3 linked regions of the Callithrix jacchus genome follow. The protein of the gene in region 1 purifies or fractionates together with the protein of each later gene. This does not show direct contact. Links are inferred from orthologs where the notes say so. Each region holds a gene or a part of one and is shown on either strand. Other genes may lie near its edges.

Evidence for each region. The genes of interacting proteins can lie anywhere in the genome.
Region 2: the proteins of FBXW11 (region 1) and RIPK4 purify together in Homo sapiens (affinity purification with mass spectrometry; 4 studies listed by BioGRID, with this or other methods). This does not show direct contact. The link is inferred for Callithrix jacchus from reciprocal best matches to the Homo sapiens genes FBXW11 and RIPK4.
Region 3: the proteins of FBXW11 (region 1) and NUDC purify together in Homo sapiens (affinity purification with mass spectrometry; 5 studies listed by BioGRID and IntAct, counting the BioPlex papers as one, with this or other methods). This does not show direct contact. The link is inferred for Callithrix jacchus from reciprocal best matches to the Homo sapiens genes FBXW11 and NUDC.

The regions. Positions count from the first base shown.
Region 1 is NC_133503.1:64,278,910-64,283,348, reverse strand, and holds the start of FBXW11 (F-box/WD repeat-containing protein 11), read left to right. Parts: upstream 1-1,503; 5' UTR 1,504-1,638; coding exon 1,639-1,683; intron 1,684-4,439.
Region 2 is NC_133522.1:47,550,925-47,554,581, forward strand, and holds part of RIPK4 (receptor-interacting serine/threonine-protein kinase 4), read right to left. Parts: intron 1,286-3,657; coding exon 1,137-1,285; intron 1-1,136.
Region 3 is NC_133508.1:63,593,611-63,597,267, forward strand, and holds part of NUDC (nuclear migration protein nudC), read left to right. Parts: intron 1-2,128; coding exon 2,129-2,332; intron 2,333-2,424; coding exon 2,425-2,490; intron 2,491-3,043; coding exon 3,044-3,163; intron 3,164-3,257; coding exon 3,258-3,452; intron 3,453-3,657. UniProt on the Homo sapiens protein: Plays a role in neurogenesis and neuronal migration. Necessary for correct formation of mitotic spindles and chromosome separation during mitosis. Necessary for cytokinesis and cell proliferation.

The DNA.
Region 1 (4,439 bases):
TTTACCTGAACAGCTTTAGCCTTACAGGCATTCCCTTCCACTAGATAAGATGAACTGAGATGCTCAATCATGTAATGACCCTCTCTTCCTGACAGCATCTAATCCAGAGAAGCCCACACTTCCTTAAACCCTCTTCCGAATCATTAACTGTTACCCAGATGCCCCATCGTTCCTCAATGTGTGTTTTCAGTCACTGCAACTAGTAATAAACCCAGTTTGTTCAACGATCCGTGTGTTCCTGGTGGGATTTGGTTAAAGGGCATTGACAACCCTAAGTGGAGGCTGAGTTCACTAGAAGTCTCCGCTTGTGTGTTCCTTCTTAGCCACTATCACTCTTTTGGTTAATGTCTGTCGTCCCTCTACCAGAATTAAGCTCCATGAGAACAAGAGCCTTGTCTGTCATGTTCAGAGCTGATTCTCAGTGCCTAGAGCGGTACGAAGCAGAAGCTGGATGCTTAAAAAATAACCATTTCTGGGTCGGGCGCGGTGGCTCAAGCCTGTAATCCCAGCACTTTGGGAGGCCGAGGCGGGTGGATCACGAGGTCAAGACATCGAGACCATCCTGGTCAACATGGTGAAACCCCGTCTCTACTAAAAATACAAAAACTTAGCTGGGCATAATGGCGCGTGCCTGTAATCCCAGCTACTCAGGAAGCTGAGGTACCCAGGAGGCGGAGGTTGCGGTGAGCCGAGATCACGCCATGGCACTCCAGCCTGGGTAACATGAGCAAAACTCCGTCTCAAAAAACAAAACAAAACAAAACCATTTCTGAACGAATGAATGAGACGGACTCGATATACGCAGGTTCCCTTTAATCTTGCAGCTCCTTGCAGATTGTATGACATACACACACAGCACCACAGCCCATTTCCCAAAACTCCCTCTTTCCTGAAGAAATCTCCAAACTCTCAGGATGCCCATCTTCTCAGAGCCTCTTCCCTGGGCCAAGCTTCTCTCACTCGCTGGCCCCTTCCCACACCTGAGCCCCAGGCCCATACACCTACCTTCCTAACGCCCCTAGAACCCACCTGTCTCCACCATCTGCCCTTACTACCAGACGCTGGCAGACGGCAGCGCAGCTACCTAAGCGTCGAGTGGGCACTGCGGCATGGACCGCGCATGTGCGGAAATGGGTCGCACACGCAGGACCTCCGACTAGGGAGGAGTTGCCTCGGAGTTTCCGTCCCGGTCTGGGCAGCCTTGGGCTGCCAGGAAGTCAGGAGAGGCTACTAGGAAGTAGAACCTGGGCGCACGGCTTTCTGGGCCATGTAGTCGTGGCGCTCTCGAGGCCCTAATATGAGCACGCTCTTAACTCTTCAGGTTTACACGTCCTACATCCACAGTACAGTGCTACTCTCAGCTCGGAGTTCAGCTTCGGGTGCCTAGAACCAGCGGCCCGGTGTCGGCGGCTCGCTCCCACAACGCACTGCGGGCCGCGGCGCCTGCTGGGAGGTGTAGTTCTTGCTCTGCGTACTGCGTTCGCCGAGGGGGAGGGCGGAGCTGCCGGCGGCCCGGGCGGGCTGGCAGCTAGAGTGGGTGCGATAGCCGCCTACGCCTCTGCCGCCTCCGCCGTCGCCTCCTCCGCCCGGGCCGTTCGCTGCTGCGCGGGGAGAGCGAGGCGGGGCCGCCGGGCCGCCATGGAGCCCGACTCGGTGATTGAGGACAAGACCATCGAGCTCATGGTGAGTGCGGCCCACTGGACCGTCTGTGCTTCCGTCCGTCCGGCCCCGGACTGGCCTGCCCACTTCAACGTCCGGTGCGAGGCCGGCTCTGGCCCTTCCCCGCGGTCTCGGCCCAGACCCGGGCCCCTAGCCTTCTCTGGCTTCGGACTCGGCTCGGGTTCCTCCGATCTCTCGACATCTCAGGCCGGTCCTGGCCCGGCCCCTTCCATGCCCCTCGCTCGCTTCTCCCCCTCCCCCTGTCCCGTCTCCGGTCCCAGCTCTCGGACGACCCTCGCTCGTTTTTGCTGTAGAGTTAGGTCTCACTCGCTCTAGCACCCCATTCTCCTTCTTTTAGAAGGGGATTTTTTTTTTTTTTCTTTACTCTGTGTCTCCGGCCCAGGCCCGCACTGCGCTTGCAAGCCCCACTCAGGCCGAGTGTGGTGGTGGGAAGGAGTAGGGAGGAGATCGGTCGGGGCCGCCTGGGCCTCGGTGTCCTAGGAGGGGTTTCAGCACCCACTCCCCAGCCTAGGTCTGTGTGGATGCCAGGATAGGCCCTGCAGAGCTGGGGGGCAGGGAGCTCTCGGGTTTGAGGCTGTGGCGGATAAGGAGGCCTCTTTCCCGGGCCCTTGTGGTGTCCGGCTTCTCGGACAAAGGGTTTCCTACCCGGCGGAGAGGGATGTTTGCATAGCAAAGCCCCAGGTACTCTGGATTCCATACCCCAGGAAAGAGAAGCCGCAACTTCACGTTTTCCAGAGCTGCTTTCGGAAATTGGGGATGATGGGGGAGGGAACCATCCTCATCACTGCCGGGAGTTCTTTCTTCTCAGAAAGAAAAAAAAAAAAAAAAAAAAAAAAAAAAGGGGAATCCTTGGCCCCCGGGGGAAACGACCACTCTTCTGTTAGAAACCGATGGCAGCCAGGCCAGACTCCCCGGTCCGTGGACACCCTCTACCCTCTTCCGAAGCTTTAGGATTTGAAGCCAGAAGGGGTTTTTAGGAACAGGACCGTGAGAGAGTGGCTAGAAGTGAAGAATTTGCTAATTGGTGGATGATTTGGTGGAAGAAATAAAATATGGCAGATATTACCTGCCAATTTGAACATGAGGGAAATCAAACTGGGCTCTGGAGAGTTGGGAAGAGGAAGTCTGCATGAGCAAACGGACGTGTCCAGGATTTCTTTCTGTGGAAGCCTTGACAGTTTCTTTGTATCTGCCCTAACACGGTAACAATTTCCCCTTGGTTGAGAGGAGAGGTGGAAGAATCTACTTAACCCAGCAAAATGTTTTCCTAGCCAGATTTTCTTCAGTGTGAAAATGTTTATTGAGTCAGTGATTCCACTGGGTAGGGTTGGTGACATCAGAGCCACTTCCCCCATTTAACGCTATAAATAATAAATGGTGACACTGAAAGTCTGTTGGATAGCTGCATGGTTTCTGTGGATGATGGTATCTGGGGAGTGGAGATACTTGTTTTAAAAATGGAAGTACAGTAGCATAAATATGGAGGCAGCTTAATGTTTGCTGTCCTTTGCGTAATTCACAGAACTGGACTTCTCTAGCATTCTTGAAAACTAGGAGGAAAAAAAGGGAAACTGATAGTTTTTGATTTTTGTATGCATGTGTGTGTGCACGTGTGGTTGTTTTCAAAGGGATAATGTCACATGCTGAGTAATTTTTCCTTTTCAGCATAATTTATCATACTTGTAGTCAGTGTTTGCTATTCTGTAACTTTTGTAGTGGGTTATTTTGCTAAATATCTTAAATCGACTAAGTATATTACATATTCTTAAGAATGTTCATACAATACCTGTACTTACAACAGAAGTACTTCATATCGAAAAATTGTAACTTGGTGCCTCTTTGAAATTGGCTGTTCCCAGCTCCTTCTGTTTCTATTCTTTTTAAAAATAACTAAAATGTCTTTATTGTCAAAAGAATTGGGAGAAATACATTGTAACCCACATCAGTGTATGGTTACAAAATAAAAAAAATAAAAACCTTTGGCCTAAATGCATTGGCTTCCTATGTTTGTAACTTAAGTTTTGATTTGACATGATAGCACTTGGTTTTGATCTGAAAAGAGATTTCAGCCTGTTAAGGACATTATAAACGGGGATTTAAACTGGAATTCTTAGAAAATTTAATGGAGAGTTTAGTTATATTATGATTAATTTAAAAATGGGTTTTTATTTAAGGATTTTGATATTCCCTGAAAGGGATACCATTTGACTTTTAGACAGCCCTTATTGTAAATTAAGTTTATGTATTTATTTTAGTAAAATAGCAAAGGTGCTTAACAACTGATTAAGTAAATCCAGGATCAAATGTAGGAATGATAATGCCTTAGAATCTAATTGCATGTGGCTTTCTGTTTTCACTACATTTAAATGACAGTTTCCAGAACTGGGTTAAAAATGTTTTTTACATTGGTTTCAAAATAATACGATTGATAGAGATGGGGTTAAAATGATGGTGTTGTAAAAAAAAATGACCTTAGCATGAAATATTTTTAGATTTTTATGAGTCAACTTGAGTACTCAAATATTTGTGATTGTGCTGCTTGTACCAGTTTGGCACTTAATGGTTAACAAGATAACTTTCATTTTGTATTCCAAAATGTGCTGTACTAGAAAGAGGAAACAGACTTCTTGGTTATCTCCATTTTCTAATCTTCATCCTTCTACTTCCCTTGATATTAATTCTTCTGTCTTTCCTGGCATTTTTGATAAGTACATTAGGAAATAAAGCTGGTGATAGCAGAAGAATTAAATTTCCAAATA
Region 2 (3,657 bases), on another chromosome or scaffold:
CCACAGTGGGAGACTTAGTACTCAAATGCTGGGGGTGAGGGCTGCAGTGGGAGACTTAGTACTCAAATGCTGGGGGTGAGGGCTGCAGTGGGAGGCTTAGTACTCAAATGCTGGGGGTGAGGGCTGCAGTGGGAGGCTTAGTACTCAAATGCTGGGGGTGAGGGCTGCAGTGGGAGGCTTAGTACTCAAATGCTGGGGGTGAGAGCTACAGTGGGAGGCTTAGTACTCAAATGCTGGGGGTGAGGGCTGCAGTGGGAGACTTAGTACTCAAATGCTGGGGGTGAGGGCCACAGTAGGAGGCTTAGTACTCAAATGCTGGGTCACACTCGCAGAGCTGAGGGTGAGAGCTGCAGTGGGAGACTTAGTACTCAAATGCTGGGGGTGAGGGCCACAGTAGGAGGCTTAGTGCTCAAATGCTGGGTCAGACCCGCAGAGCTGAGGGTGACAGCCAGAGTGGGAGGCTTAGTGCCTGCTCACATGCTCCCGCCCTCTTTTCTTCTCCAAAGTCTGTGTGATTAAGATCTTTACAGTTTGAAAAAGGAAGGCACCAGGTGACCTGGGTATTGATATCTGACCAACAAAGGTAATTGCATGAAGATGAGCTGTTCACCTCACAAAATCAGAGTGAATTTCAGAAAGTCCAAACACACATGCACACAGACACCCAGACCACTGAAAGCAGCAGGTCCTTCCAGCAGACAAGCCATAAGACCCACAGGTCACAAAAACGCCAAGGCTCCAGCAGGGCAGGGCTCTCAGTGTGGCTCTGCCGTGCGCCTGGGACCACTCCTCCTCCTCGGCCAGCAACACTCACAGCAAGGAAATCCCCAGACTCTTCCAACACCACCCCTGTCATTTTTTTTTTTTTTTAAGACAGAGTCTTGCTCTGTTGCCCAGGCTAGAATCCAGTGATGCGATCATGGCTCACTGCAGTCTCCACCTCCTGGGCTCAAGCAATCCTCCCACCTCAGCCTCCCACAGTGCTGGGATTATAGGCTTGAGCCGCTGCACCTGGCCTGAACCCCACTTCTGACTGGCAATAAGAGGCCTTTCTGACAGCTGCAGCTCAGGGCATGAAGCTTCAAGGTTCAGAGCCTCTGGCCTCTGTGGGGGGTGGGGGGTGGCATGTCACATACCTGTATACGTCATGCTTGGTGTCGAAGAGCCGGCTCTTCTCCCTGATGCGCTCTGGAGGGAGGTAGGCGATGGTGCCGAACAGGCCGTCCATGCTGAGGTCGTGTGAGTGGGACAACCCGTTGCACTTGGCCAGCCCAAAATCAGAGATCTGCAACACAGCCATGGAGCGGGGCTCGTTAGCCCCCAGCGTGATGCTTTGATGCATTATCAAAAGCTCCCTTTGGCAATCCCAGAGGGTGGGTGGGAGCTTTCCAGGAGCGCCGAGAGCCCACCCCGTGCCTCTCCAGGCAGCCCTGCGCCAGGCATGGAGGGGCAGATTCTGGGGCAGAAGCAAGCCTGGAGGCTTTGGTTAAAGGATCAGGCTGTAAGGAAGGAATCCTCTGGAACAGAACTCGGAAGAATTCGAATCCACCTTCTATAAGGCATCGTGTTTGCCACTGTGGTGACGGCCAGTTGGCATAAAGGGGAACAGGCACGCCTTAGAGGGTTCAGGCAGACAGCAGCGCATGTGAAGATCAGGTCTGCTCCTAGAGAAGCCGGGGAGCCGGTTGTGAAACCTGCCAGCTGGGAAGGCTGGCGGGCAAGTGGCTGCAAGTCCTTTAAAGGGAAACACACCTTCAGAAGCCCTTTAAACTTGAAAGCAAACAAAACTCACGCCTGGCAGCCCCATCCATCTAGGGTGTTTTGTGAGCAGCAGACACTGGCTGGCTGCTTCAAACACATGCATTCAAGTGAAGGTCTGCTAGCCCAGGCCCCGGGGAGCACCGGCCACCAGCTCCTCCAGGAACGCCCTCGGCATCTGCACTCGGGGGAGGCAGGCCTCAGGTCTCCTTCCAGCAAAGGTGCCCTTGGAGCTCACTAGATGCCCCTTCCCCAGGCTGACCTCTCTGTGGGGGATGGGAGCGTCCCCTTCCCTCTCCAGTGTAACTCAGACCGGTTTGAAGCTGCTGAAGACAGTGTGTGGGAGAAGCCACAGCTCATTAGCATTAATGGGACTCCGGATCCAGGGGGAGCACCGCTCTCAACTCTCCTTTAAGGCATACGGATTTTTTGTAAAAACCTTTTCATTAACTCCTGGGCTCCTCTCAGACACACCCATGGAGTGACAGGAAATGAGGCTGAGTCAGGCCTTCATTCTGGGCTGGCTGTGCCCAAGCGGTGAGCCAATGGGGCTGCTGTCATCAGCACAGCAGGGAGACTATGACTGGGCTTCCAAGATCCTGAGCACACCCACATGGAGTGGGGGGAGGCCTGCGGGAAAGGCCTGCGAGAAGAGACTGCAGGGAGTGGGGGAGGCCTGCAGGGGAGGCCTTCGAGAAGAGACCGCAGGGACTGGGGAGAGGCCTGCAGGGGAGGCCTTCGAGAAGAGACCGCAGGGACTGGGGAGAGGCCTGCAGGGGAGGCCTTCGAGAAGAGACCGCAGGGACTGGGGAGAGGCCTGCAGGGGAGGCCTTCGAGAAGAGACCACAGGGAGTGGGGGGAGGCCTGCAGGGGAGGCCTTCAAGAAGAGACTGCAGGGAGTGGGGGAGGCCTGAGAGAAGAGACCGGAGGGAGTGGGGGGAGGCCTGTGGGGGAGACCTGCAAGAAGAGACTGGCCTCCTCTGCAGCCAGCAGCACCAGGACAAGGCCCCGACTCCCAGCGTCTCTCATTTCCTCTCACTTCTGTTGGTCCCAGGGCCTTCAGGCCTGCACCGCCCTCAAGAGCCACACTCCTTCACCCCAGGGAAAGCACCAGCTCCCCAGAACACCACCATCACCTGATCCTGTAAACCTGGATGGCAGCCAGACACTGGGACACAATCATGTGTCCTAACTCTCAAAATAAGCTCAAGAGCGCAGGAAGCTTCAGTTCAACCGTCATCAGCGACTTCAGAGGTTTCAAATTCAGAAATGAGTTGAACAATGAGAACACAAGGACACAGGGAGGGGAACATCACACACGGGCCCTGCTGAGATGTGCGGGGGAGGGCAGGGAGAGCGTCAGGACAAACACCTAATGCATGCAGGGCTTAAAACCTAGACGATGACCGAGAGGGCTGATGGGCACAGCAACCCACCGTGGCACACGCACACCTGTGTGACAAACCTGCACATTCTGCACACGTACCTGAAACTAAGAGTAAAGAAAGCATCACACGCTTTCCAGGCAATTCCTTCTCCCCTTGTATGGTTGACTGCAGGAGAAAAGTATCTCCCTCCCACCGTCAGCTAAGGATCAGACTCGCTGTTCTAATCTTGCCTGTACAAGTTAGAGTTCTGTGGGCCTGGACGATTAGCCTCTCTGTGCCTGTTTCCTTTTTTCATAAAAGGAGGCAATAAAAGTAGCTTTGTTGTGAAAATAAAATGAGATCTAGTATCATTTTAAAAAGAAGAAGAAAAGAAAAGGAAGACATGAGAGGGACTGAGGCGCAGAGGTCTCAGCCTTTTCTCCTCCTCCGTGTCTTTGTCAGAAAGAGCCAGCCCCTCCAAACCATACTTGGTGAAAAGAAAACCAGGCGAAATTCTCTGTGAAACCTCTGG
Region 3 (3,657 bases), on another chromosome or scaffold:
GACTGAAGCTTGAGTCTGTGACAACCTCTGGGTAGGCTTCCACACCCCTGGGGTTATCTCTCTGAGGCTGGGCCTGGGTCAAGCTGATGGGAGGAGGGGTCAGAGGCTGCTGTGATTGGCCTTGACTCTGCCTGGTGGTTTAGCTCTGCCCTTGCTTAACCTCCAAGAGCTAGGAAAGAACAGTACAAATGGGATGTGACATGATTCAGTGGAGCTGGGAGAGGGGAGGGCCCTGCTCCCACCTCCCTTTGGCCACTGGTTGGCAAATGGCTATAGTTCAAGGTCTCTCTGATGAGGGACTTGGGACCAAGGCCCTGCGGTGGAACAGCCTCTGCTGGCACAATTATCTCATGACCTGTCATTTCTATTGACAGCAGAATGGCCTCCCCTACCAGTTTAACTCGTGGTTTAGGGGGCACTTTTTGTTGTTCTTTAACCTTGTAGAGTGTGGAGCTACTGTAGTGTGTCATAAGCCTGGGGGTTTGGGAATAGCAGTAGAAATTGGCGTCAGATGGGTGAGAATCCACAGGGCATAGCAGAACCCCAGCTCTGGGGGCCCATGGGTGACTTCTGTGACCTTGAGCCCCTGCAGAGCTTTCCCTGCAGTTCTGCCTTCGAGATGCTTGAAAGAGGTTTTATTGACCACTGATCACATGGTGAGTGCTCTGCAAGGCCTCTAGGGGTGTGTGCGTGTGTGTGCACATGCACACTGTGTATGGGTTGGCATTGAGTTGACTTTCCTAAGGGTATGTTCCTGGGCCAGAGGTGAAACTTCAACACTTGACTGGTTGAGTTGGTCTGCCAGATGACCTGACAGAGGGGACAAGACATTCTAGGCAAAAAACAACACATGCCAAGATTGCTTTTATTTATTTTGATACAGGGTCTTTGCTCTGTTGCCCAGGCTGGTGGCGCAATCTCTGCTTACTGCAACCTCTGCCTCCTGGGTTCAAGAGATTCTCTCAACCTCAGCCTCCCAGGTAGCTAGGACTACAAGTGTGTGTCACCACACCTGGTTAATTTTTATATTTTTAGTAGAGACAGGGTTTCACCATGTTGGCCAGGCTGGTCTCGAACTCCTGACCTCAGGTGATCTGCCTGTCTTGGCCTCCCAAAGTGCTGGGATTACAGGCGTGAGCCACTGTGCCTGGCCTTGCACTGGGCTCTTGATGTGTGCTGTCATACTCAATCCTCATGACGGATAAGGAAACCGAGGCTAAGAGTCATTCACTGTCTAAGGCCAGGAACCAAATAATGACAGTTGGCCATGGTATGGGGGGTTAGTTAGCCCTTGGGTGGCAGGGAGGCTGGCTAGCACATCATGGCGTGGAAACATCCTGAGAAAGTATAGTGGAGAAAAAGGATTTGAAGTTGACAGCTTGCTGGCTGGAGAGAGGGGGACCAGGCTCTTCTCTCAAGAAAGCTCCCTGGCTTTCTGCTAACGTGGCCTTCCTGGGTGTGGCGTCAAGTCTTGCGTAACTGGACTGTGGTCTTGGATGCACTAAGAGTAAGAGTGATCAGTCAGAGGAGCAGGTCACTGTGGGCCTGAGAACTCAGGAAAGGCTTCTGAGGGACTGAGGCTTGAGTTTTTGCTTGTAACAGCATCACTTTTTTATTTTGTTTTTTTGAGACAGAATCTCCCTCTGTCATCCAGGCTCAAGTGCAGCTGTGCGATCTTGGCTTACTGCAACCTCCACCTCCCTGGTTCAGGCAGTTCTACCTCAGCCTCCCAAGTAGCTGGGATCACAGGAGCACGCTCAGCTAATTTTTTTGTATTTTTAGCAGAGACAGGGTTTCACCGTGTTGGCCAGACTGGTCTCAGATTCCTGACCTCAGGCAGTCTGCCTGCCTTGGCCTCCTAAAGTGCTGGGATTACAGGCGTGAGCCACTGCACCCAGCCAAGCGTGCACTTTTAAAAACAGCCAGTTTATTGAGACAGGTGGTTTGCATGTATTCTCATTTCAGCTCTATGAGATAGATGTATTTTCCTCATTTTGCAGATGAGGAAACTGATGTTCTGAGTGTAGTACTTTGCCCTTGCACCCAGCAGGTAGAAGAGGGGCTGGACTCCAGGCTATGGGACACTGTCCCCTGCTCTGATGCCTCATGGTCTTTCCTCCCTCTCCAGCTTATCACTCAGACTTTCAGCCACCACAATCAGCTGGCACAGAAGGCCCGGCGGGAGAAGAGAGCCCGGCAGGAGGCTGAGCGGCAGGAGAAGGCGGAGCGGGCGGCCAGGCTGGCCAAAGAAGCCAAGTCAGAGACCTCAGGGCCCCAGATCAAGGAGCTAACTGATGAAGAGGCAGAGAGGCTGCAGCTAGAGATTGACCAGGTGAAGGGTGGGCTTCCCTCCTCCATTCCTCAGATCCCCACTGGCACTGAGCAGTGAGGTCCTGTTGCCAACTGCTGTGTTCTTTGCCCCAGAAAAAGGATGCAGAGACTTATGAGGCCCAGCTCAAGAACGGCAGCCTTGACTCCCCAGGGAAGCAGGTGAGATGGACTGGAGGCACTTGGGATGAGACAGGAGTTTGGAACTTCCAGAGAATCTCCTGTCTACTACCTTCTCTGGAATACCCTTCCTTATCCTATCCCCTCCCCTCCTGGCTTTGGGAATCTTCCCCATACTTTAAGATTACACTCAGAGACATTGAAACAAAGGATCCAGGTTAAAAAAAAAAAAACAAAAAAAACCCCTTGACCTTAACCCATTTATGGCAGGAAAACCCAAGAGCCAGAGAGGGCAGTGCCTGTTACAGGTCCCATCTGAGGTTGCCTGGGTTCTGTGGGCCCAGCCATATCCTTTGTCACATGGTATAATAGTCTGAGCTCCTCTCAGGCAGAGATCAGAACTAAGTTTTACCTGGTTCCCAGTGGACCAATGCTTGGGGATCTGCCTCTCTGTGGAGTGGGCAGGGACCAGGTCTTTTTTGTTTTGTGGCTGTATGCCCAGTGCTAGCTCTGGGCTTGGCCCAGTGAGGTGGGTTCATTCTGTATCTGTTCATGTCTGTCAGGTAAGTAGCTAAGTGTCCCTGATTGTAAGCAGGAGACTGAGGAAGATAATGAGGAGGAAGACGAGAAGGACAAAGGAAAACTGAAGCCCAATCTAGGCAATGGGGCAGACCTGCCCAATTACCGTTGGACCCAGACCCTGTCGGAACTGGACGTGAGTGTCAGGGACCAGAGGTAAAGCTTAGGGAGCCAGCCTGGGGTGCTGGCAGCACTTGGTGGCCCCTCCTGACTGCCTCTGCCCTATGCAGCTGGCAGTCCCTTTCCGTGTGAACTTCCGGCTGAAAGGGAAGGACGTCGTGGTGGATATCCAGCGGCGGCACCTCCAGGTGGGGCTCAAGGGGCAGCCAGCGATCATCAGTGGGGAGCTCTACAACGAAGTGAAGGTGGAGGAGAGCTCATGGCTCATTGAGGATGGCAAGGTGGTGACTGTGCACCTGGAGAAGGTATGTGAGGCCCAGCTCTTTTGGCCTCCCTTCTTTTGGAAGAAGGGAGGATGTGTGCTTATTTTACTCTGGAGCCATGCTGGAGGCATTCTGGAATTATCTTACTTAATTCCCATGACAACACTCTTTGAAGTAGGTCTGTCCCTATTTTTTTTTTTTTTTTTTTTTTCCTTAAAGACAAGTCTCACTCTGTTGCCCATGCTGG